Linked DNA regions of Astyanax mexicanus. The protein of the gene in region 1 interacts with the protein of each later gene in a pairwise test. Links are inferred from orthologs where the notes say so. Each region holds a gene or a part of one and is shown on either strand. Other genes may lie near its edges. The genes, in order: ubac1, trim2a and rnf216.

Region 1 (7,306 bases):
AAGGCGTGCAAAACAAAACAAGCTAAATAATGTATCTGTTTTAATCAGTGTTTGCAACATTCAACACTTGATGTACAGATTCACTGCACAATTAAGTGTGGGTCATTTAAGAGAGGGGTCATCACAGTGCATTACCTTCTCTTCAGCAGAAATGTCAGCCATTGGTGGGCGAGGTGGCTGTGGCCTCTTCTTTACCAATAACAAGCAATCTGGAGAAAAAAAATGTGAATCTTATATATGGAAACAGTTCCACATAGGAAGGAAACAATGCCAGAATTATTGTTAACATCTCAAAGTAAAACCGTGCAATACCTTTATCTTTAAGGTTTTCATCTGCAACCGTTTTGGCTTCTGTGAGAACCCTCTCTGTAGCTGCATGAATAAGTTTATGGTGTGTAAGCGTCTTAGGATCCTCTAAACTCCCATGGGCACACTGTCAATTAAGAAACATAGTTTAGAGTACAATAACTGCCATTCACACCTGCATATACAAGTCAATATCTTCTTATAGTGGTGCAGGGCCTGATAATATTAAAAAAAAAAAAAAAATTAAAAGCATAATTCATGCCTATTGATGTGTACTTGCCAACTGATTAAACATGTCATTCATGAGATGAGCTTCAATAATCTTGGAAAAAAACTTTGGAATTGGATTTTGTCTTACCAGTTCAATTTGTACATTTATCATTAATTACTACATTTAATATGATATGCAGAAAAGCTGAATGATTTTTAGCTGAATGACTGTACATATACAGCACTTCAAAAGGATGAGTTTCTTTGATTTTACCAAATTGAAAACCTCTGGAATATAATCAAAAGGAAGATGGATGATTACAAGCCATCAAATCAAACTGAAGTGCTTGAATTTTTGAATCAGGAGTGGCATAACGGTATCCAAAACAGTGTGTAAGACAGGTGGAGGAGAACATGCCAAGACACAAAACTGTGAATAAAAACCAGGGCTACTAATATTGATTTCTGAACTTGACTTAAACCTTAATGAATATGAGCTTGTTTTCTTTGCATTATTTGAGGTCTGAACGCTCTGCATCTTTTTTGTTATTTCAGCCATTTCTTATTTTGCAAATAAATGCCCTAAATGACAATATTTTTATTTGGGAGAAATGTTGTCCATAGTTTACAGAATAAAACAACAATGTTTATTTTACTCAAACATATACCTATACATAGCAAAATCAGAGAAACTGATTCAGAAATTGAAGTGGTCTCTTATTTTTTTCAGAGCTGTATATATATATATATATATATATATATATATATATATATATATATATATATATATATATATATATATAAAAAATTCATTTTGCACCACCTGCTAGAACCATTGCAGTTAGCTAACTGTAGACACCAACAGTCATCAAGTTATAAGTATCATGAGTATCAAATTCTTAGTACAGCTGTAAAAATCTGGATGTCACATGGTTGTGGAGCCCACCTTATGGTGGCTGTGAGCAGCAGCATACTCAAAACTGAGCACTAAGGACAGGTTTAGGGTCGTTTTAGCTAGAGTCGTTTCAGCAGCAAAGAGATAGATAGCTAGGTTACAAGCTGCAGCTAGTAAATACTGAAGCCTGGAGAGTGTAGCCATGGGGATAAAATGCACTGTAGTTAGCTAAGCTAGCTAGTTTAGCTAACCAGCAAACCCACAGCTCCAGCTATAGCTAGGTGACAGCCCGAGTTGCTGAATTATAAATAGCTCTGTCTACTCGCCTGCTGGTTTCTAAAAATACTTGGTAATGGCAGTGACGATCCCACAGGGCCCGGGTAAAAGCCCTGGGTAAGCAGCTGAGGATATTCAGCAACGCAAAAAGCCTTAGAAATAAGAAAAATAATGAGATATGGCCTAATCTGACTAATAACTACCTCTACGAATCTAGCTCATCAATTAATTAACTAGCTATAAATGTATACACAGGGCTTATTCCAAGTTTCCACGATTTACTGTACTGTACTGTAACACTGATTATGCTGGTACATTCTTACACATGTTTTGGGAGTGCAGTGTGATTTCTAAATTCTGGGACTACATTTTACATTTTCTGATATGCTTAAAATTCATGTTACACAAAAAAAAACATGTCTTTTTTATTAAGTGATGATAGTTCTTTTACATTTACACTATTTCAAAAGAGACTAATCTTTGCTGTCTTAACAGCAGCTAAATATATATTTTAATAATATTTAATTTGTTTAAAATAATGGCTGTTATTCTATTATGACATTGTCTCTCTTATACAGACTACTGCAATTATGAAAATAAAGATAAAGCAGCTACACTTGTGGGGTGGGATACCATTAGATCAACCTTTTAGGACTTGCTTTTATCTCATGAGGCAATATTAGACTCTCACCTTGTCACTTTTTTCCTACTTATTGACAGTGTGACAGTGACTATCTCTTTATCTCCTTTATCTCTTTTTTAAGCCTAATTGTAAATTATATAGTATATATACTATATAACAAAATGATCACGAGCGAAATAATAGAAAAGTGAGGGAATAGATACACAGCTATACTCCAGCTGCAGCTGTAACTACTACGTACATGCTTCAGACATTTCTCCTTCAGCTTCTCTATGGTGGTATCTTCGGTCACTTCCTCCAGCCACTCGGCGCCCTCCATGGTGCAGATGTGGATCTTCAGGACTTTACCTGCGAATATCTTCTCCTCCTGCACGAACATCGCCGCGATCAGGCCGAAGCCCTGCAGTGTAGATGTGCAGAAATGTGGTGGTGGTGATGGTGTACTCTGAGCTCCGGCTGCTGCCCCAGGACTCCTTATCCAGCCACTGTAGGTTAACTAACTGGACAAGCTCCAGTTATTAACGTTGCTCCGTCATTTCCAGCCCCATAGCTCGTCTCGAGTTCACCCCTCTAACCCGAGTTTAACAGATATTCCAGTAGAGCATGGATTCTCAGTAAATAGCTGGATATATTCACCCTGTTTTTGTTGACACCTGTGTTGCAGGCGACAACTGTACACGGAAGAGCAGGACGGCGCTACTACGCACGCGCGGGTTCTCCCTGCACGCTGATTGGCCGATCCGTTTATTTTGTCACAGCCTGTAATATAACGGAATATTATTATTATTACTAATAATGAATTTTTTTACGTGTGTTTAGGAAAATAATTTAATTCTTTGTTTGTCAATATACTTTTTTCTTTATTTATTCATAATAACTGATGCTATATGTGTTTTAGAGTCAAGCAAGTGTTACATGTATTGTATTAATCTACACTGCCTGACCAAAAAAAAAAAAAACAACCTGTATTTAACTAAGCAAATGATCTGGGGTTGCTGCAGTTGGTCAGGTCTAAATTCAGCGAGAGTATGTGCTGTAAGAACGAGGTCAGCTGACTACCTAAATGTACTGAATATAGACCAGCTGGTTATTCTATCAATTGAATTTTTCTTCTCTGATGGCACGGGCTGGCATATTCTAAGATGGCAATCCCAGGATTAATCGGGATGGAATTGTAAAAGAGTGGTTCAGGGAGCATGTGTCATCATATCACTCATGGATTCTCCAACATTTGTTAAATGATAAAATTATTTTGCTCAAGTGCTCAGTATGAATCTATTAATTTTGGACTCACTCGGGAGCTCCCCCTGGTGTTCAAACAAAGTGGGTATTTTATTCTGTAAAAATCATCTGATAGAATTTGGAATAACAAAGAGCGACATCTCCCATAGCAACAAATTCATTATTTTTTCTAAAACTGGTACAGAGGCAACATTTTTTTATTTTTTCAAAAATAAAGTAAAAATAAAGTTGCTTCCTTATATTAGTTTGTTAGACACGTTTGTGACAAATTCATCCCTGTAGATGCCAAACCATTAGAGGGCGGTATAGCTCCCTCTTTTTACACAGGAACCCGCTTTTAAACTGAGGGAAGAAGTCCAGCACTCGACAGGAGAAGTATTTACAGTCAGCTGGAGTTTATTTAGATGAGTTTTAATTTAGACTCCAGTCTGGGGGTGGTTTTAGAGCCAGAGGCAGCTAGTTAGCTGCGTAGCTCCATATCGCTTGATTAGTTTTAGTTGACAGTTCAGTGTTTTTACAGCTGGGCGGGGAGGGAAGACCCCCCTGCTGCAGGGTGAAGAGGGACTCAGTCTGTCTGACAGTGGAAGATCAGGAGAAACTACTCATCAGAAATGTCCAAACACAAAGCATCCAAGAAAATGCTCATTATTGAGGATGATGGTGAGTATTATATCTCCCTGTTCCGAACAGATCATACCTGAACCAGCTGATTAGCCTCAGTTAGCTATTAACTAGCCCTCTACAGGAAAAGCTGGCTAGATAAAAAGACAACTGTTGCTCCTGGTATTTATGGAATGTATTGTCTTACAATGCTTGAGAACAAATGCTTTTTTTGCACGGTCAAAACTGATGGCTGAATGATCCTACATGGCAAATTATTTTAAGCCTAATTATCTATATCACCCCTTTTAATTAAAATCAATAGCTAGTATTTATGAGTTAAAAGGGGGCAAAATATTCTAAATATCAGGCCGCTGGCATAACCATACCTGCATCTAATACAGCTCTGCAAAAATTTAAGAGACCACTTCAGTTTCTCTGATTTTACTATTTGTTTACTATTTGTTGGAGTAAAATGAGCATTGTTGTTTTGTTCAATAAACTACGGTCAACATTTCTCCCAAAAACAAACGACAATATTGTCATTTAGAGCATTTATTTGCAGAAAATGAAATAACAAAAAAGATGCTAATAAAACAAGTTCATATTCATAATGTTTTAGAAGTCCAGAAATCAATATTTGGTGGAAAAACTCTAGTTTTCATTCATTTTGGCATGTTCTCCTCCACCAGTCTTACACAATGCTTTTGGAGAACTTCAGTTTGGTTTGATGGCTTGTGATCATCCATCTTCCTCTTGATTATATTCCAGAGGTTTTCAATTTGGTAAAATCAAAGAAACTCATTATTTTTAAATGGTCACTAATTTTCCTAGAGATGTATATTCATTCTAAAAAACAGTAAACAGTGATCCGGTATGCTTGCTGGATGTAATAAGTCTGTCACAATAATTATGTTATTAATTATGTCGACTTACCATATTATACAATGTTGATATTATGGAAGCTCATTCCCGCCACCTAAAATAAGTTATTTTGATATGTTGTGTTATTATTTTGAGATACTAAGTGAGCAAAATAATCAGTACCTCAGAATAAACACTTAGTATCTCAAAATAAACATTTAGTATCTCAATATAACCACTTAGTATCTCAAAATAACCACTTAATATCTCAAAATTATCAGTTGGTATCTCAAAATAATCACTTAGTACCTCAGAATAAACACTTAGTATCACAAAAAAAACATATAGTTTCTCAATATAATCACTTAGTATCTCAAAATAAACTCAGTACCTCAAAATAACCACTTTGTATCTTAAAATAACCCTTTAGTATCTAAAAAGAACCATTTAGTACTAATATTATTTATCACAGTTAATTTAAAACAATTTACAAAAACAGTGAAATTACAATGTAGTGGTTCAGTGGTTTGGTCTTCTTAGTCTTTTATATGTAAATATATGTATTTATTTTATTTTTATGAGATGTGGTTGTGATTTAGTGTTTTTTGTGCTTTAAGATCCTGTGGATGAGCCAAAAGAGGGTGGAGATGAACTCAACCCTTTCTCTTTTAAAGAATTTATCCGGAGCAAAAACTATCCATACAGCAGCAGCGATGGTTTTGAGGTGAAGTACAATAAGAATGGCTTTGGCCATTGCTGTCTTTCCTATTACAGAAAAATAGATTTTTTTTTGTTTTATTATACTACTTCCATTCAAAGTTAAGAATATTTTGCTGCTTTTATTATTGTCTCTATTTAGTTTTAATTGGACAGCAACTAAATGCAAGGGATGCATTCAAGTAGTTTGTGTTGTTGTTTACAGTCTGTCTGCTGATTTTTTTTTAATGTTATTAATATCTGCAGAAAGCACATGGTGGTGCCTGTCATGTGGAGGACGAATATAACTACCCCAGAGGATTCGACCACAGTCACAAGGGTCAGTTTTTTAATGATCCCTCGCTGCTTGATCAGTCCTTTGACACTGAACCTGACGATGAATGGACTGAAAGTTACCAGCCCTCTGCTGTGGAAGAGGCACATGAGTTAGCACTGTGTGGAAAGCACGGTGCTTACATGGATCACTCACTACTGTCCAGTGAAGACAAGGACGACACTGCAAACGAGTGGGAAGTAGAGGAGGGCTTCTCGCCAAAGACTCATGTCCACAGGAGAAGCACTGGCAGCTATGAAGGAGATGAGGAGACGTCGGTCATCGATATATCCTACCATACTAAGATAAGCAGTACGGAGAACAGGGTCAGGGACCAGCAGAAGGTACTGAGATCCTGTGTTGCTTTATTTGTTTGGGTTTTTCATTAATGGATGCTCATCTGATTATTCAAGTAAACAGCATACTCTGATTTCTTAGATCAGAGTAATGTATAAATCTGATAAAGGGCAGGATTTTAGCTCAGAAACTGTATTTCTCAATTCATGTATACTCTTAACTGGAGTATTCTCAGATTTGTCAGTATGTGCATGTGTGAAAACAGACCCTGGTACCACGAACAATGTTTAACAAAGCACCCACAAGATGCTGACAAAACACTTGTGGAGCACTGCTGAAACTAAAGGATTTATCTTCAACCTGGTGTATTTTCTTTTTGAATCTCGATGTTTTTTTTTTTTTTAAGAGTTGCAACCTGAGGTTTGGGATTTACATGATGTTTACACATGATGTTACTTTATTCTGTGAGTTTTTTTGGCTGCTTACAAAGCAAAAATCTTATTACTCATCCAACTGATAATAAACACCAATCATTTAATATTGTGAATAAATATCAACACTGTGTTGCAAAACAAAATATTTTGATATTACACCACAAGTAAACGCTTTAATCGTATTACTGATAAACTGATGTTATGCGGTTCTGCATCAGATTATGAGATGTAAACATGTAAACACATGTATACTGTATTTAACACATGAGAAGTCATACATTTCTGTCTTTTCCAGCTAAGAGAAGAAAATTCCCTTCTTAGGAAGCAAATCAGAGAGCTCATCAAAAAGTCAGAGACAGACTCCTCAAAGTAAGAGTGAATACTAAATTTACTTCTGTTATTCTTTTTATAACCTATATTAGGTTTAGATTTCTTGGGGTCCGTTTTGCCACAGTCATCAAAGAACTTTGTATCTCTTTTTTTCCTTTTTTGAGCTGATTTGATTTCTT
Region 2 (7,443 bases), on another chromosome or scaffold:
CTGCTGGAGTTTTTAAACACCTCTGTGTCTCTGCTGGACTCACCAACAGCGTCCTGTGAGCACTGATGAAGGACAAACACAAACTGTGCAGCAACAGACTCAGAGCTTATATCTCTGACTTTACATCTACAAGATGTAGCAGCTGTATCTGATCCACTTATACCAGCACAACACACACCGACCCCCCCACATTTACTACATCCTCTGTGGGGTCTTCAGTGTCGTGTAGATCTCCTGTAATAACAGTAACTATGTTTTTCAGATCTATTAGTGATGAAACCCTGAAAAGAAAAGTCTGAGAGGAGTCTCTTCAATCAATTCTCACCACCAGAACCTACAGATCTTATGATGGGGTAAGATCAACATGTCTACACACCAACTAGCCTGTTAATTATGTTACTGGTTATAAAGAACAGCCTCATTAAATAGATGTGTATCTGTATTTAACCCATTACAACAGTCTAAATCATGTTTCTGTTATAAATGTGTCTCAGACCATCTCCTGAAGTGGTTTGAGCAATTGGATTTGTACAAGGTAACGCTGGTAAGTAGGTTCTACATAGCACTGAAGGTAGAACCTGAGTTTTTAACTCAATCTTCAAACAGGATAAGAAAAATAATACCTAAAATTAACACCTAAATAAATATGAATAAAATAGAATAAATTGTATGAAGTGTACTTTGTCCTTTGGGAGTGTAATTCAATACAAGCATAAGCATTCAAAATAATGCAATAATAACCAAGGACACGTCTACATTTCTTTATTTTAACTTTGAACCTTTTAACTATTTGTATGTGCTGCACCTGCACTCTATTATACCATTTTATACTATATTACACTATATCATATAATCGGTATAAACTAATGTATAATCTACTGTCTTTACCATATACTATACACTTTTGCATATTTAAATTGAACTTACCCTTGGTAATTTTGTATTTTTGTTTTGTTGCTTGCTTGTAACACCTACATTGCATATATCCTATTGGACTTTTACATGTGTACTCTAATTCATGTTTCTTAGTCTATCTTGTGCTTATATACAGTTTAGATGTTTTATCCATCTATTAATACATTCAATCTAAATGTTGATACCTGCACCAAGAAATAATCCTTGTGCCTTTTGTACTAGGCGAATAAAGATTCTAATTCTGATTCTGATTCTAATAACCAAGTAAATAATATGTTTTCCAAAATAAAAAGAATCTGTAAGTACTGTAATGTCATCTACCTCAGTGATTAGATTAAACAGCACTAGTGGTGATCAGTATAATCAGTATGTGATGCATTCTCTATGAACCTCTGATGGCGGACTGGGCTTCCTGCTACAGGATGAATGAGCTGCTTGGACAAAGTGGCATCCAGATCCAGACATTATGGATCAATAAACATAAGCAGCTGGAGCAGCACTTACCAGCATTAGCCAGCCTGCACTATCCTGCACTCAGAACCAGTACAGGATGAATGATGGTAGTTGGAGATGGGTGGGGTTGTTGTGTGCTGCTGATGTCCGGTCCACACTGACCGGGCTTTGTTCCTTTAACAATCTATTTTTTTATTTTATTATTTTTAACAAAATAATTCGTTTTTACAGTATATGTTATTATAACATCAAGATAAGTCTCCGTTCACTGAAAGAGGTGGGGTAGAAGTGGGTTTGACATTTCACCTGGGGGTGAAACAATAATTTTTAGAGCCAAACCCACATGGGACACGGTGCCAGCAATTGACCAAATAAATTTAATTTTAATATTATATAATATCTATAATATCTATAATATAAATATCTAATATACTATAGATATGCATGAATATGTAAAGAAATATTTTGGGGTTGTTTTCATTTACTTAATAAAATAGTGTTTTAATTTTTTTTAAATAAAAAATGTATCCAGTTCCACTGCATCATTAAAATGATCAGTGTTGCTGTGGGGGATTTTGTCATTGATATATTAATACCATTTTTTTTCCAAAATATTTCATTTGTGCCATAGAGGGTGTAACAATCACAATAAATGGCCTTGCCATTAATATCACAATATTTCAAAAATATCTCAATATAGTATTGTATATATAGTTCTTGACAATATATAACCCTAGTTAGGCTGTTGTGATCATGTATCGTGAATATGAAATATTCTGAAGTGTAGTGTGCTGATTCTCTGTTAGGACATGATCCTTTATTTCATACAGATACAGTATATAGGGTGGATTTAAATTGTGTTTATAAATTGTATTTGTGATTGCAGTAATTGTGAGAATGTGTAATTTTACCAAGCATGTGTTGGCTGAAATCTTTTTTTCATTTCTCTGTAAATAATATCTCATCGGTTACAAGAAAAAACAAACCCTGTAGTAGAGATAGAAAATCCTATGGTTCTGTATCGGTATCAGATGATTTAAAGCTGAAATGTAATTAATTAAGCTGACCCTTACAGTGGTCAGTTCATAAAGGACATTTAACCCTCACTAACTGGATACCCCTCTCAGGAGCGTATATTACAGCTTGTACAGTAAATAGCTACAGCACAGCAAAACAACTAGCCAAACAAATGATGCTGACCATACAGAACATCAAATTGGTCAGTCCACATTTAACCACCACCAAAAGTACAGCAGCAGCAGTGATAAATCTAAATCTTACTGTTTAATAATCAGCACTTTTGTGACATATTGCCAAGTTTAATGTTGCATCTAGCCCCACCCTCAAGCTGTGTTGGTGATTGGCTGATCAAGCTGAAAAATGATAAGAGATCAGTCCCAAAAACACTGATCTGTCCCTCTTTATCCTGTAGTGTGGGCCAAGCAAGAGGGAAGGCCTTGTCTCTTTTACTTTTATTCAGTGTAAATGGAACAATACCTCAACCAAAAGAAAAAGAGCTGAATAAATAAAGACAGAATGGCAAAATAACCCTCAGTGCCGTCATGCGTGCCGTAAATGCTTCATTTCCAGCCCAGCAAAGCCTCTCAAAGCCTGGAAATGCGACTCTTTCATGCGATTATCCTCAGTGATAATGAAGGTGGGTGCGGGTGAGGAGGGGTACAGGCTGCACCCGCTGCTAGTTTTCAGTCGGTATCAAAGGAAATCCAAATTTAAAAGGAATGCAAATAACTTTCACTGCTCCTCCGTCCCCCATCACCCCTTTAAGATCCCCCCCCACTCCCCCGTCCCAGGGTTTTCATGGGGCTGACTCATAATGGACTGTTGGCATGGCAACCGTCTCCTCAATGTTAGAGGGAAGGCCTCTAAAGGGTTGCCCTGGTAACCATGCAGTTCTGCCCTGTCACCCCATCCTCTTAGCCCAACCAATTCGCCCAGGGTCCCGAGAGCCCGATCAGGTCTTAGTACAGAGATCTGATATATAAGTTCATAAGTAAACTTAGAATTAACTACAGTATCCAGGTTGTGTTGACTTGTGGTGTCAATCGATTTTAAAATATTTTTTTTGATGAACCACATAAATATTATGTCATTAATTACACATTTTTACTTATTAAGACTAAAGCTTTTATTATTGGATATTTAAATGTGAATAAAATGACAGAAGTGTATAATACTTATAAAAGTCAATTGCTTTAAAATATGAATTGTATTAGTCAAAATAATATTCTGTGATGAATCATAATTGTAAAAAATTATGACAAAACAAATGTACATAATGGTACTTCCCTGTATTTTTAATAATTTTGTTATGTGATATATCTGGCAAACAGACTTTTATCATAAAATTAGTTTTAAAGCTTTTTATATGAGATTATTTTAATAAAGCGCTTTAGCTAAACATAGTATACATACATGTAATTTAGTGTATTTTTGAAATCAATTATTCCTTTTTTTAAATTATTAAATAAATTACAATTTATCTGAACTGAAATACTCTTTTTAGGCAGATATTTAGGCTACGTCTTATATTATAAGCTGATATCATATATTATCGCGTCCGTTGGGTGTTTGTTTAGCTCATAATTTACATAATTCATCTAAATAATTCATGAATTTTACCGCAAGTATAAGCCTGTAATCAACGGGTTTGGTTTGAAATCATTTTTTTCCCACCTATTTTCCGCCAAAATAAGCTTTCCTGCGCTCTGATTGGTTATATAGCAAACAGCTTGAGACTACGGGCTGTTAGCCAATCAGAGCGCACGTGGGAGGACAGAATTAGCCAATCCGAGCGCAGGAAGGGCGTGGAAAACATGAGTAAGCCTGTCCGCGCGTGCTGTGGGGCAAACCAAGTGGTGAGGCGGGGGGGGCAGCAGAGCTGTTAATGCCCCAGCTGATCACACAGCACGCGCCTGCCGTCTCAGCACAACCGTAAGTGATGAATTTAGACTTTATCGTCTTATTTTTACTTAAATCGGTCTTAAATTCTGGTCTTTCTGCTGGTCTTATAGGTAAATATGCAGTTATTTCAAGGCTGCGTCCCAAACCACACACTGCACGATAACACTGCACTCTGTAGGCTGAGCAGCTAGTGTACTATAGATGAGTGTGTACTAAAGCTGGGGTACTGTTCTGATGTACTGTTTAGTGGTAGTGTGCGGTTTGGTACTATAGACTGTGAGACTTTAATGTAATGCTCTGTATGAAGTCAGTATAGTACAGTATAGTGCACTAAAATCATAATGATATGATTATGGACTGTGTCAAGGTTAAGTCACTGTAATTGACAAATCCACAATCAATCATTTCATATACAGCTCTGGAAAAAAAATAAGAGAGCACTTAATGAGGATGTTTTTCTTTAATTTTTCCAAATTAAAAACCTCTGGAATATAATCAAGAGGAAGATGGATGATCACAAGCCATCAAACTAAACTGAACTGCTTGAATTTTTGCACCAGAAATGGCATAAAGTTATCCAAAAGCAGCGTGTAAGACTGGTGGAGGAGAACATGCCAAGATGCATAGACAGTTTTGATAGTGATTTATATAGCGATGTAACTATTGCATATGCACATAAAGTGATGTTAAAACGTTATATTGTGCCATAAATATCGTGTCGAATCAGATATTAATGGCTTTTAATACGTCTTACTTAATACTGCATCTTCTAATTTCTGATTGAATCACAACACACCAGCAGGTATAGAGGATGTCTGTGCTGCTACCATCAATCAGCGTTTTGTGTGATTAATTTTTATGCTAGTAACAGGGTTAAAGGGTTGTGACAGGGAACACATGAGCAAGGCAGAGGTCATATTTGTTGAATGTTATATTATTTCCGCTCCAAAAACTTGTGTTATTTCCAAACACCATTTATTGGCTGTGTTAATGTGTTAAACTATCAATTATGAGCTTTTCTAGAATGAAGCATTTCACATTGAATTGTTAACAGTCTTAAATGTTTAATCCTGCAAAGAAATGGCATCCTATGATCCTACTATGATGATGGAGCAGAGTAGACATGGCTGTATGCCTGTATATTTACAGTGTTCTGAACCTCTGTTAGGCCTGTGATGTATTTATAGCACTGACTGGCCTGGATTCTCCCTTCTCACACTCCTCATTCACACTGGAACCTGTGTGGAATATAACAGCACACCTGAATCAGTGACAAGACAAGATAAGACAAGACAACCATACACTCATCATAAACTGCCGAAATTTAGACATACCATTGTCTGCCAAGTATAAATGCATGCACAATTTAGATACTAGTCACATGACATGACCAGGTGTAAACAGGGTTGCATGATATTACTTTTTTAATTTGCATCCAACCTCTTATTACGGATTCAAAAGCCAGATTTAAAAAATACAATTCTGAAATTTGTGGCCAGTTTAGTCTCTGTGCTAAATACTCATGAGCTCATTAACATGTAATTTTTGATTGGCTGTTACTGAAGTCACATGGCAGTGTGAGTGTAGTGTAATCTAATAAATCAGACCCGGAGTATAAGTATCAGAAGTGACAGCCCAGATGAAAAAGAGGGTTTAGTGAGACGGCCCTGTAGACGGTAATCGCTGACTCACTCTGGGGAATTGTCCTGATCAGACGATGATTACTCGTGTCGCTGATTTGATGAATTAGGCGGCGTCTCCAGACGAAATTTCTAGTCCTTAGGGAACACCGTGACCTATAGTAGTGCAGCGCTAGATCAGCTGACCCAACATGAGTGGCTGTTCCCTTATAATGTTCCCATATAATGAACATTAAAGTAGGGGGGCACCAAAATATACATGTTTGGCCCAAAATAACTTGCCACTTTTTACCACTAAATAAATTAAACAGTCTAAAAATATATTTTTTCTTGTTTTTCAAAGGAAAAGCACTTACTTAACACTTAGCGTTAATATCCTAACAGAAAAAAGCAAAGCACATTATATTTTAATAGTGAATTTATTTCAGCAGTGCTGTTCTTGTCACACATTTAACTAGTCTAATCATTAAATGTACCTCAGTAGTGCTACTCTAATCATAGGTTTACTTCTGCAGTGCTATTTTACTCATAAATGTACATCAGCAGTTCTATTCTAATTATAAGTGTAATTCAGTAGTGCTATTCTAATCATAAACCATAACAGTGCTATTCCAAACATAAATGTACCTCAGCAGTGCTATTCTAATCATAAATGTACCTCAGCAGGGCTGTTTTGAAGATGCTAAGGCTAAGGTCGCTCAGCTAACATTACTATGTCTGTCCTCTACAGCTCATATCTTTCAGTTAGAAAACAGTCAATTTGTAAAGTAGGAATAAACTAAATACAGAGTGTGATAAGTGATGCTGAACATTCCATTTCATTTAATGAAAATAGAGCATAGAAATTAACTGGCCATTTCTCCTCTCTTCCTGTTGTCTCTGCTACTGCTAAAAGATTCCTACATTATAGTGTAGAATAGTGGATGCATGCATGAAAGAAAATACAAAGTAATTAACCTGAAAATTATCATTTCTGTGTAGTCTAATGCCTTATGAATATGAAGAATAATTAAACAGTTGAAATCTTAAGTCGCTTTTGAGAGTTTTAATATTCAAAATGCTCAGTATTCAGATAATAATAATAATTCTGAATTATCTCCAGACTGTCTCTTTAAGACTGGGTTGGTGGTCCCAGTGCATTACCCATTCCGAGTCTCCATGCTTCACTGCTCCGTTTAACTTGTCAGCAGGTTGTCGTGTTGATGGGCGGCGCTGAATGTGGTAATTGATTTTGTTTGGGTAGGTTAGGGGGGGATCCTGATGGGTTTTAGGGTTGAGAGTATGTAAATGAAAATGGGACCATTATAGATGATGGGTGTGACCTGAATGGAGTAGACTCATTAAAGTCTCAGATTCTCGTCTGTACTGGTTTGGTGTTTCAGGCTCTGATGAGCTTTAGTTAAAACTCCAGCGCTGTTAAAGGGTAGCATTCAGTTGATTAGCAAAAAGTCGTTCTTAAACTGGAAACATACAGAAAAACTCTGTGCACTCTGTGATATAAACCCACTGACAT
Region 3 (7,577 bases), on another chromosome or scaffold:
CTATCCCAGTTACCTCTAAAATGCTAACATCGTCTTCATCTTCATCATCATCTTTGACCACAACAGGAGCATTTGGTACAAATGTGACCAGCTCATCATCAGAATCATCAGATATGGTTATGTAGGTCCTCCCTGTTGATCTGCTACCTGTGAATGAAACATGTAGCATGGAAATAATTAACAGACCTATTTATTATCAGATAATACATATGTGAAATTGGTTTATGTTTGCTTTTTTGGCAAATATAAACCATGTCAATATACAATTTCTGCTGCTAATTACCTGTTTTATTTACACAAGGGATTTCTCAACATTACCCAGACCTTACACTAGAAAGGGCTGGGAGGATACAGTCTATTATAACTGATTCATAAATTTGTATTCATACGTACAGCTCCTCCGAACAACTTTTAGAGCTCTAGGTACATGTGTGAAAGGGGCTACATACACTAAAAAACATGAAAACACTAACTGCAAAGCAAAGAAACGACACTAACCTTGGCTGCGATGTGTGTTAAAACTGGCCAGATGAATGACATCTTCATCACCAGTTCCGTCAGCCATGGTAACACAGCCAACCAGACTCCCTGAGTCTTCCTCCTCCCCTCCTTCTCTCTCTCTCTTGCACACAAACACTCATGCACACACACAGCGCCCTGATATCAGAGAGGCATCACCCTGCGGGAGGAGATAGAGTTAGTAAGCACAAGTGATATCTACTGCTGTTTATTCTGGAAAACAACAGTTAAAACACTTCAACTGAAAGAGACCGTAATTAGGTAAGCATGGTCTGAAAATCTGATGAAACAATCAGGGTCAGATTTCCAGACAGGAATAAAGCCCAGTCTTAAACTATACTGTCCTATCAATGGAAAATCTCCATTTAAAATGCTGTGAAGTACAAGATTAGGATTAATCATCGTCTGGGGAAACCGCCCCAAGAAATGTGCCCAGGAAAGACTTTTTGAAGGAGGGAAAGGAAAGAGTAATGAAACCTTTTACCATTGAAAAACCGGTTAAAAGGGAGATAATACAACAGACTGTAGAGTTAAGAACAAACATTTGATAATTCTAATAGCTTTTAATAGCACAGATAATACTTAACTGTCAATTAATTTAAAGTATGTTGTTTATAGTTGTTAGCAATTTATTAGTAGTATTATATGACCAGTAAGATGTTTTCTAAATCAGCATATGTTGAATTAATTGACCTAAACCAAGTTTCTAGCCAATGTCCAAGCTCCTAATCAAGCAATCTGTTTAGAAGAGTTTTTTCTTTTACATTTCATTTCACTGAAGATTTGTAGGGACAACTGCAATACAGTACTTTCAATTCAATATATTGTTTTAAATTTATATTATTTTCAAAATGATAATTTGGAAATGACCACGATAAAAGCTTTTTTTAAGGTTAGGAAATGTTATAAAAATGTTAAGCAGGACTGGTATGTTTTATTATTTTAAAGGACACATTTCAGCTATTGATAAAACAATATGGTTTATGGTTTAGTGCTTCTTTAACCCATAAGAGAATATTAATGCCAAATTCAAAAATAAATAAGCAGCTCATTCTTGTTTGTTTCTTACTGTGGGAACACGCAGGAAAAGTAAATATTTTAAAGTTTAAATCATGATAGAACATAACCTGTATTCAGGTCATATATATATATATATTATATATACACACACACAATGTAAAACATTTAGGTCAATTAAAGTGTTTAAATTGTTAAACTGGTTGAAACAGATCTGTAGAATCCAAAAGTTTAGACTTTTATAAGGAGATGCTTTTATTTCCAGATTTTTTTCCAGCACACCTAGGGTACATTCTGTAAATTAGGTCAAATCATGAATTAAGACAGATTCACACACTGTCCTGTAGTGATGCTCTCAGGATGTTCAGTATGTGTCTGGAACTGGATTAGGAACTGGAGTTCTGGAGTTAAAATGATGAAAACAGTGCTGTAAAGAACTTTACTTTGCCACCAAATAAAAGGTCAGACATTCTAATATTTGGTTGGACCGCCTTTAGCTTTGACTGCAGCACACATTCGCTGGGGCATTGTCTCGATAAGCTTCTGCAATATCACAATATTTATTTTAATCCAGTGTTGCTGGATTAATTTTTCACAAAGATCTTGCAGCAGCATTGATGATGGTAGAGTCTGACCACTGCACAAAGCAGCTCTTCTCCATCCAGCACATCTTAAATATTCTCAATGAGGTTAAGATCTGGACTCAGTGGTGAACTCTCTTAATCCATGTGTGAAAATGATGATATCATGCTCCCTGAACCAGTCTTTCACAAATCCAGCCCCATGAATCCTGACATTGTCTTATTTTGGAATTTATAAAAAAAAAATCCATTGATGGAATAACCTGGTCTATATTCAGTATATTAAAGTAGTTAGCTGACAACACATGCTTTTGCCGAACCTAGACCTGCAGACCAACTGCAGCAAGATAAATCCAGGTGGTGACTTTTTATTCGGACAGGCAGTGTAACTACTTCACCATTTAACTAAATTAAATCGACTGGGAGTTTTTTTAGGTGCTGACATGTTGATTCACTACAAAAAAACGTGGTCCTAGTGTTAGCTTATGTGTTAATGAAGTTATCAGCTAGCTTACAATACATTAAAATGACCTAAAATTCCTCTTAAACAGTCTTAAACTAGTCTAAAAGAAGTTTCCACGGCTATATGGATGTTAAACCCCTTAACTGACTTTCATTTCTGGTCCAGTTGTCGCCCTGTAGTGAAGCTAGCAACGAGTAAACAGTGTAAACAACGACAGACTGAAGTTAGTGGACACAGAGTGAGTGTGACAGAGAGTACAGCTAAATATATAAACCATATATTTTACATTTAAAACCTCCACAGAGTCCAGGAGCACAGCGTAAAGCTCCAACACAGCTCCACAGGCAGCTAACAGGCTAAAGAGGCGAGTTGGCACAGAGTGGTCTGGCAGGCTAGCTCAGCACGTTAGATAATAGCCTACTAGTCTGGGTAAGTAGCTACAGGATTAAAGAATGGTCAGATTTAGCCGCTCAGACTCACATTTCCTCACCCAGCACCGGTTAATAAAGATGGTAAATGATCGTATTTCATCGTGACGGGATTGTTTAAAGCGGTAAACCTACCTCTCCGTTTAAATCCACCAACACATCGACAAGCTTTCAGAGCCGGATATCGAAACAAACGGCCAAAACAAGCCTGGCTACGTCACGGGGACAAGCGTGCAGCACAGGATGATGGGAAATGTAGTTTGTTTTTTAATATTTGAAATGAGTACCTCAACTAACATTGGATAAACGTTCTTTTATTGGCATGTACACTGTACAACCGATAAGAACAGAAAACAAACAAGATTACAAACAATACATATAAAACCCCAACATTTCATCAATGTTAAATCAACATAAAATCAATGTGGATAAAAAAATCAATTTTATTTAAATCAAGCTACATTCATTGAAAGGTTTTTAATGTTTGGGACTCTGAATCTACTACACTCACAATAAAATTAATAATTATTATAGTAAAATAATAATCCTTTTTATTATTTAAATGTCTCTTTTTACACTAGCTATAAGAACAAAATACAAACAAGATATAGATATACAAGATATACATATACACATAGTAAAGTGTAATACAAACAATACATATATAGAAAAGCATTATGCTAAATCAATGTAAAATGGATGTTCACAAATAAATCAGAGATGTTGCTTTAATGCATTAGAGACAGAATTAATTATTTTTCTATTTGTATATACTGTGGGTGTTAATACATTCTATGATGTGGACATGAGACACTTCTGGATCAAGGAATGTTAAATACTCACACAACTTCAGGAATGACACCCACTATCAGGCCTCATTTCCACTTCCATAACCCCCCTCACTTCAACCTCACTCACATGATAACACCTCACAACTTTACTTAAGGTTCGGGTATTCCCAAGACATACATCCTCTGAGGTAACAATTCATGAACATGATTTTTTGGCTTGTCAGTGTAATAGTGTACATATAGAAAAAAAAAAAAGAATATATATATATATATATATATATATATATATATATATATATATATATATATATATATATATATATATATATATATATACAGGGGTTGGACAATGAAACTGAAACACCTGGTTTTAGACCACAATAATTTATTGTCCCGACAGACAGTTCTGGTGGAAACAGGAGAGTTGAGGTGCACATTGAATTCTGCTGTGATTTGGGCAGCCGTGGTTTTATGTTTTTTAGGTACAGTCAGGGTTAGCACCCGAACATCCCTTTCAGACAGCTCCCTCTTGCGTCCACAGTTAATCCTGTTGGATGTGGTTGGGCCTTCTTGGTGGTATGCTCACATTACCCTGGATACCGTGGCTCTTGATACATCACAAAGACTTGCTGTCTTGGTCACAGATGCGCCAGCAAGACGTGCACCAACAATTTGTTCTCTTTTGAACTCTGGTATGTCACCCATAATGTTGTGTGCATTGCAATATTTTGAGCAAAACTGTGCTCTTACCCTGCTAATTGAACCTTCACACTCTGCTCTTACTGGTGCAATGTGCAATCAATGAAGATTGGCCACCAGGCTGCTCCAATTTAGCCATGAAACTTTAAAATGACAGGTGTTTTAGTTTCATTGTCCAACCCCTGTATATATATAAAAGAAATAAATCTCTATTACCCCAAAACCCACTACAACCGTTCATAGTGCTTTTCCACCAAAAGAACTCTGGTTCTAGTGGAACCGTCAAAACGTCACATCATATGTCATCAACAAAGGGAGCTGCAGAGCGGTGGTGAACAGAAGCGGACATGGTTCCACGCCATTTAGGGGTCTAGACTCCAATAAGAGTCTAGACTCCTTATATTACACTGGCCTAAAATAAAATACTCAGAAAATAACATCCATAAAATATGAGTAATCTTGAATAACTCTAAATAAGAATAGCTAAGAGGAACAGCTAAATGCCATAAAATGTAAGCCATGCTATATCAGAGTGGGTCCACCTAAATCTCATTCTTAGAAATGTTCACCACCCTGCATTAGGTTAATTTGTCAGTATCTAATCAATGATAACAGCGTTGTTTCTCCAGCCACCTATTTCTCTGTGTTGATTTTCTGGATGAAGGCATTTTGTTTTGAACTGAATAACAGCACTTTGCCCCCAGTCAGACGGGTGCCTTGATTTATTTCTGTTCCCAAAGGACTGCATCTAACCATAAAAGCTAAAATAGCTCATTTAATATTACTGTGGGTTTGAGGTGGGAACACAGCCTGCAGATCAAGCTGCCAGTGTTTTGATCTTAAAGCCAGTGTAGTTATTAGCCTAATGCTGGAAGATAAAGTGAGAGTTTGAATGCTTTCTTTCTGATTGTGGCGTCATAAACACAATCAAAGATAGATTACTGGCTGGGCCAGTGGGGCCGAATGCCAGGAGCCTATAAATTCCAGTAGACTCAAACATAGGGGACAGTCAACTTCAGGGAAACATATCAAATCAAACACTGAAACTTTTCCAAAATACTGTATGAGTGAAATGTAATGCATGAATAAATAAGTAAATAAATCATGTATCTGCAAATATAAAAACAATACAACACATTACAATAGGACCATTTTTCATTATTCTATTAGACCAACAAACAGAGAACATTATAAGAACATTTAGCAATGTTTTGAAAAGGTTTCAGGAAGGTTACCCTGTAATGTTACAGAAATAATGTTCCAGGAACGTTCTGAAAACATCACAATGATTAGTACATTATTACTAAAGAAAAAACATTGATACAAGTGATACTGCAGCAGCATTACCAGAATGTTCAAAAACGTTAAATTAAAATGTTCTAAGAACATCCAGAAGGGTTCAGGGGTGAACAAAATAAAATGGGCATGTGCTGCACAACCTAGGGCCTGTATATTCTGAAAAGGGGTGGCTCTCGAATAAAGTTTTAAAACTTTGCACCATCAATGACAACAATTTACAGTTTTCTTGTACCATCACTGGGTCACTGGGAGAGGGGGCACATAAACATATGAGGCTATGTATCTCCTGTATTTAAGTTTTCAGTTATGCCTATTATCATTGTCTGATTTGGCCATATTTTATAAAGTGCTGCCTGATAATAATAAAACAATCCCAGAGAAACATTGTAAAGCCTGGGTTTTTAACATTTCTTTCCACATTTGCACACAGCATGTTCAGTAAATGTCTTTAACGTGAAGGAAAGAATGCTGTCTCCACATCTCCACATCTTTAAAACAGTCTGTATCACATATAAAAAAGTGTCCTAATAGCTCCTGTGAGCAAAAAAAGAGTTTGAGTGCCTACCTAGGTGATCTTTTTTTAGAAGAAAATTGATATTGTGTCCCATCTATGGGTGATCTTTTGCCCTTTCAGTAGAAAATGTTTCCATGCCTCCCCTACTAGACAGTCTCCCAAAAGTGCCCTTTCCAGGTAGGGTGAATATAAACATGGTAATGTGCCTTAATAGGAGCTCCACATTGATAACATGTCCCATCTATGGGTGATCTTAGCCTGGTTAGATGCTCCACAATGATAATATGTCCCATCTATGGGTGATTGTTTGCCCTTTCAGTAGAAAAGGTTTCCGTTTTGAAGCATCTCCCATGCCTCCTTGACTAGACAGTGTCCCAAAGGTGCCCTTTCCAGTAGAAACAATGTGGTAGGATGAATAAACACATGATAATGTGCCTGGTTATGTGTTCTACAATGATAATATGCCCCATCTATGGGTGATCTTTTGCCTGGTTAGGTGCTCCACATTGATAATACAGGTATGCCCCATCTATAGATGATCTTTTGCCCTTTCAGTAAAAAACGTTTCCATTTTAGAAGCGTCTCCCATGCCACCCCTACTAGACAGTATTCTGAAGGTGCCGTTTCCAGTACAAATAATGTGGAAGGGTGAATAAAACCATGGTTATATGCCTGGTTAGGTGCTCCATATTGATAATGTGTCCCATTTATGGGTGATCTTTTGCCCTTTCAGTAGAAAAGGTTTCAGTTTTGAGGAGTCTTCCACGCTACCCCTACTAGACAGTCTCCCAAAGGTGCCCTTTCCAGTGCAAACAATGAGGTAGAGTGAATATAAACATGGTGATGTACCTTGATAGAAGCTCCACAATGGTAATATGTCCCATTTATGGGTGATCTTTTGCCATTTTATTTGAAAAGGTTTTAGTTTTGAGGCGTCTTCCATGCCACCCCTACTAGACAGTCTCCCAAAAGTGCCCTTTCCAGTAGAAACAATGCAGTAGGGTAAATAAAAACATGGTGATGTGCCTTGATAGAAGCTCCACATTGATAACATGTCCCAACTATGGGTGATCTTAGCCTGGTTAGATGCTCCACAATGATAATATGTCCCATCTATGGGTGATTGTTTGCCTTTTCAGTAGAAAAGGTTTGAAAAGGTTTCCGTTTTGAGGCGTCTTCCATGCCACCCTCACTAGACAGTATCCTAAAGGTGCCCTTTCCAGTAGAAACAATGCGGTAGGGTGAATATAACATGGTGATGTACCT

Evidence for each region.
Region 2: the proteins of ubac1 (region 1) and trim2a interact in binary tests that used the Homo sapiens proteins (3 or more experiments, as listed by UniProt). The link is inferred for Astyanax mexicanus from reciprocal best matches to the Homo sapiens genes UBAC1 and TRIM2.
Region 3: the proteins of ubac1 (region 1) and rnf216 interact in binary tests that used the Homo sapiens proteins (3 or more experiments, as listed by UniProt). The link is inferred for Astyanax mexicanus from reciprocal best matches to the Homo sapiens genes UBAC1 and RNF216.

Annotation. Positions count from the first base shown.
Region 1 is NC_064429.1:25,238,717-25,246,022, forward strand, and holds the start of ubac1 (ubiquitin-associated domain-containing protein 1), read right to left. Parts: upstream 3,026-7,306; 5' UTR 2,710-3,025; coding exon 2,572-2,709; intron 434-2,571; coding exon 313-433; intron 210-312; coding exon 136-209; intron 1-135. Other genes in the region: entr1 (endosome-associated-trafficking regulator 1), read left to right, coding at 4,184-4,232, 5,654-5,760, 6,000-6,410, 7,093-7,166.
Region 2 is NC_064432.1:21,842,943-21,850,385, reverse strand, and holds the start of trim2a (tripartite motif-containing protein 2), read left to right. Parts: upstream 1-4,256; 5' UTR 4,257-4,320; intron 4,321-7,443. UniProt on the Homo sapiens protein: UBE2D1-dependent E3 ubiquitin-protein ligase that mediates the ubiquitination of NEFL and of phosphorylated BCL2L11. Plays a neuroprotective function. May play a role in neuronal rapid ischemic tolerance.
Region 3 is NC_064410.1:54,646,369-54,653,945, forward strand, and holds the start of rnf216 (E3 ubiquitin-protein ligase RNF216), read right to left. Parts: upstream 3,237-7,577; 5' UTR 3,144-3,236; intron 680-3,143; 5' UTR 566-679; coding exon 499-565; intron 148-498; coding exon 14-147; intron 1-13.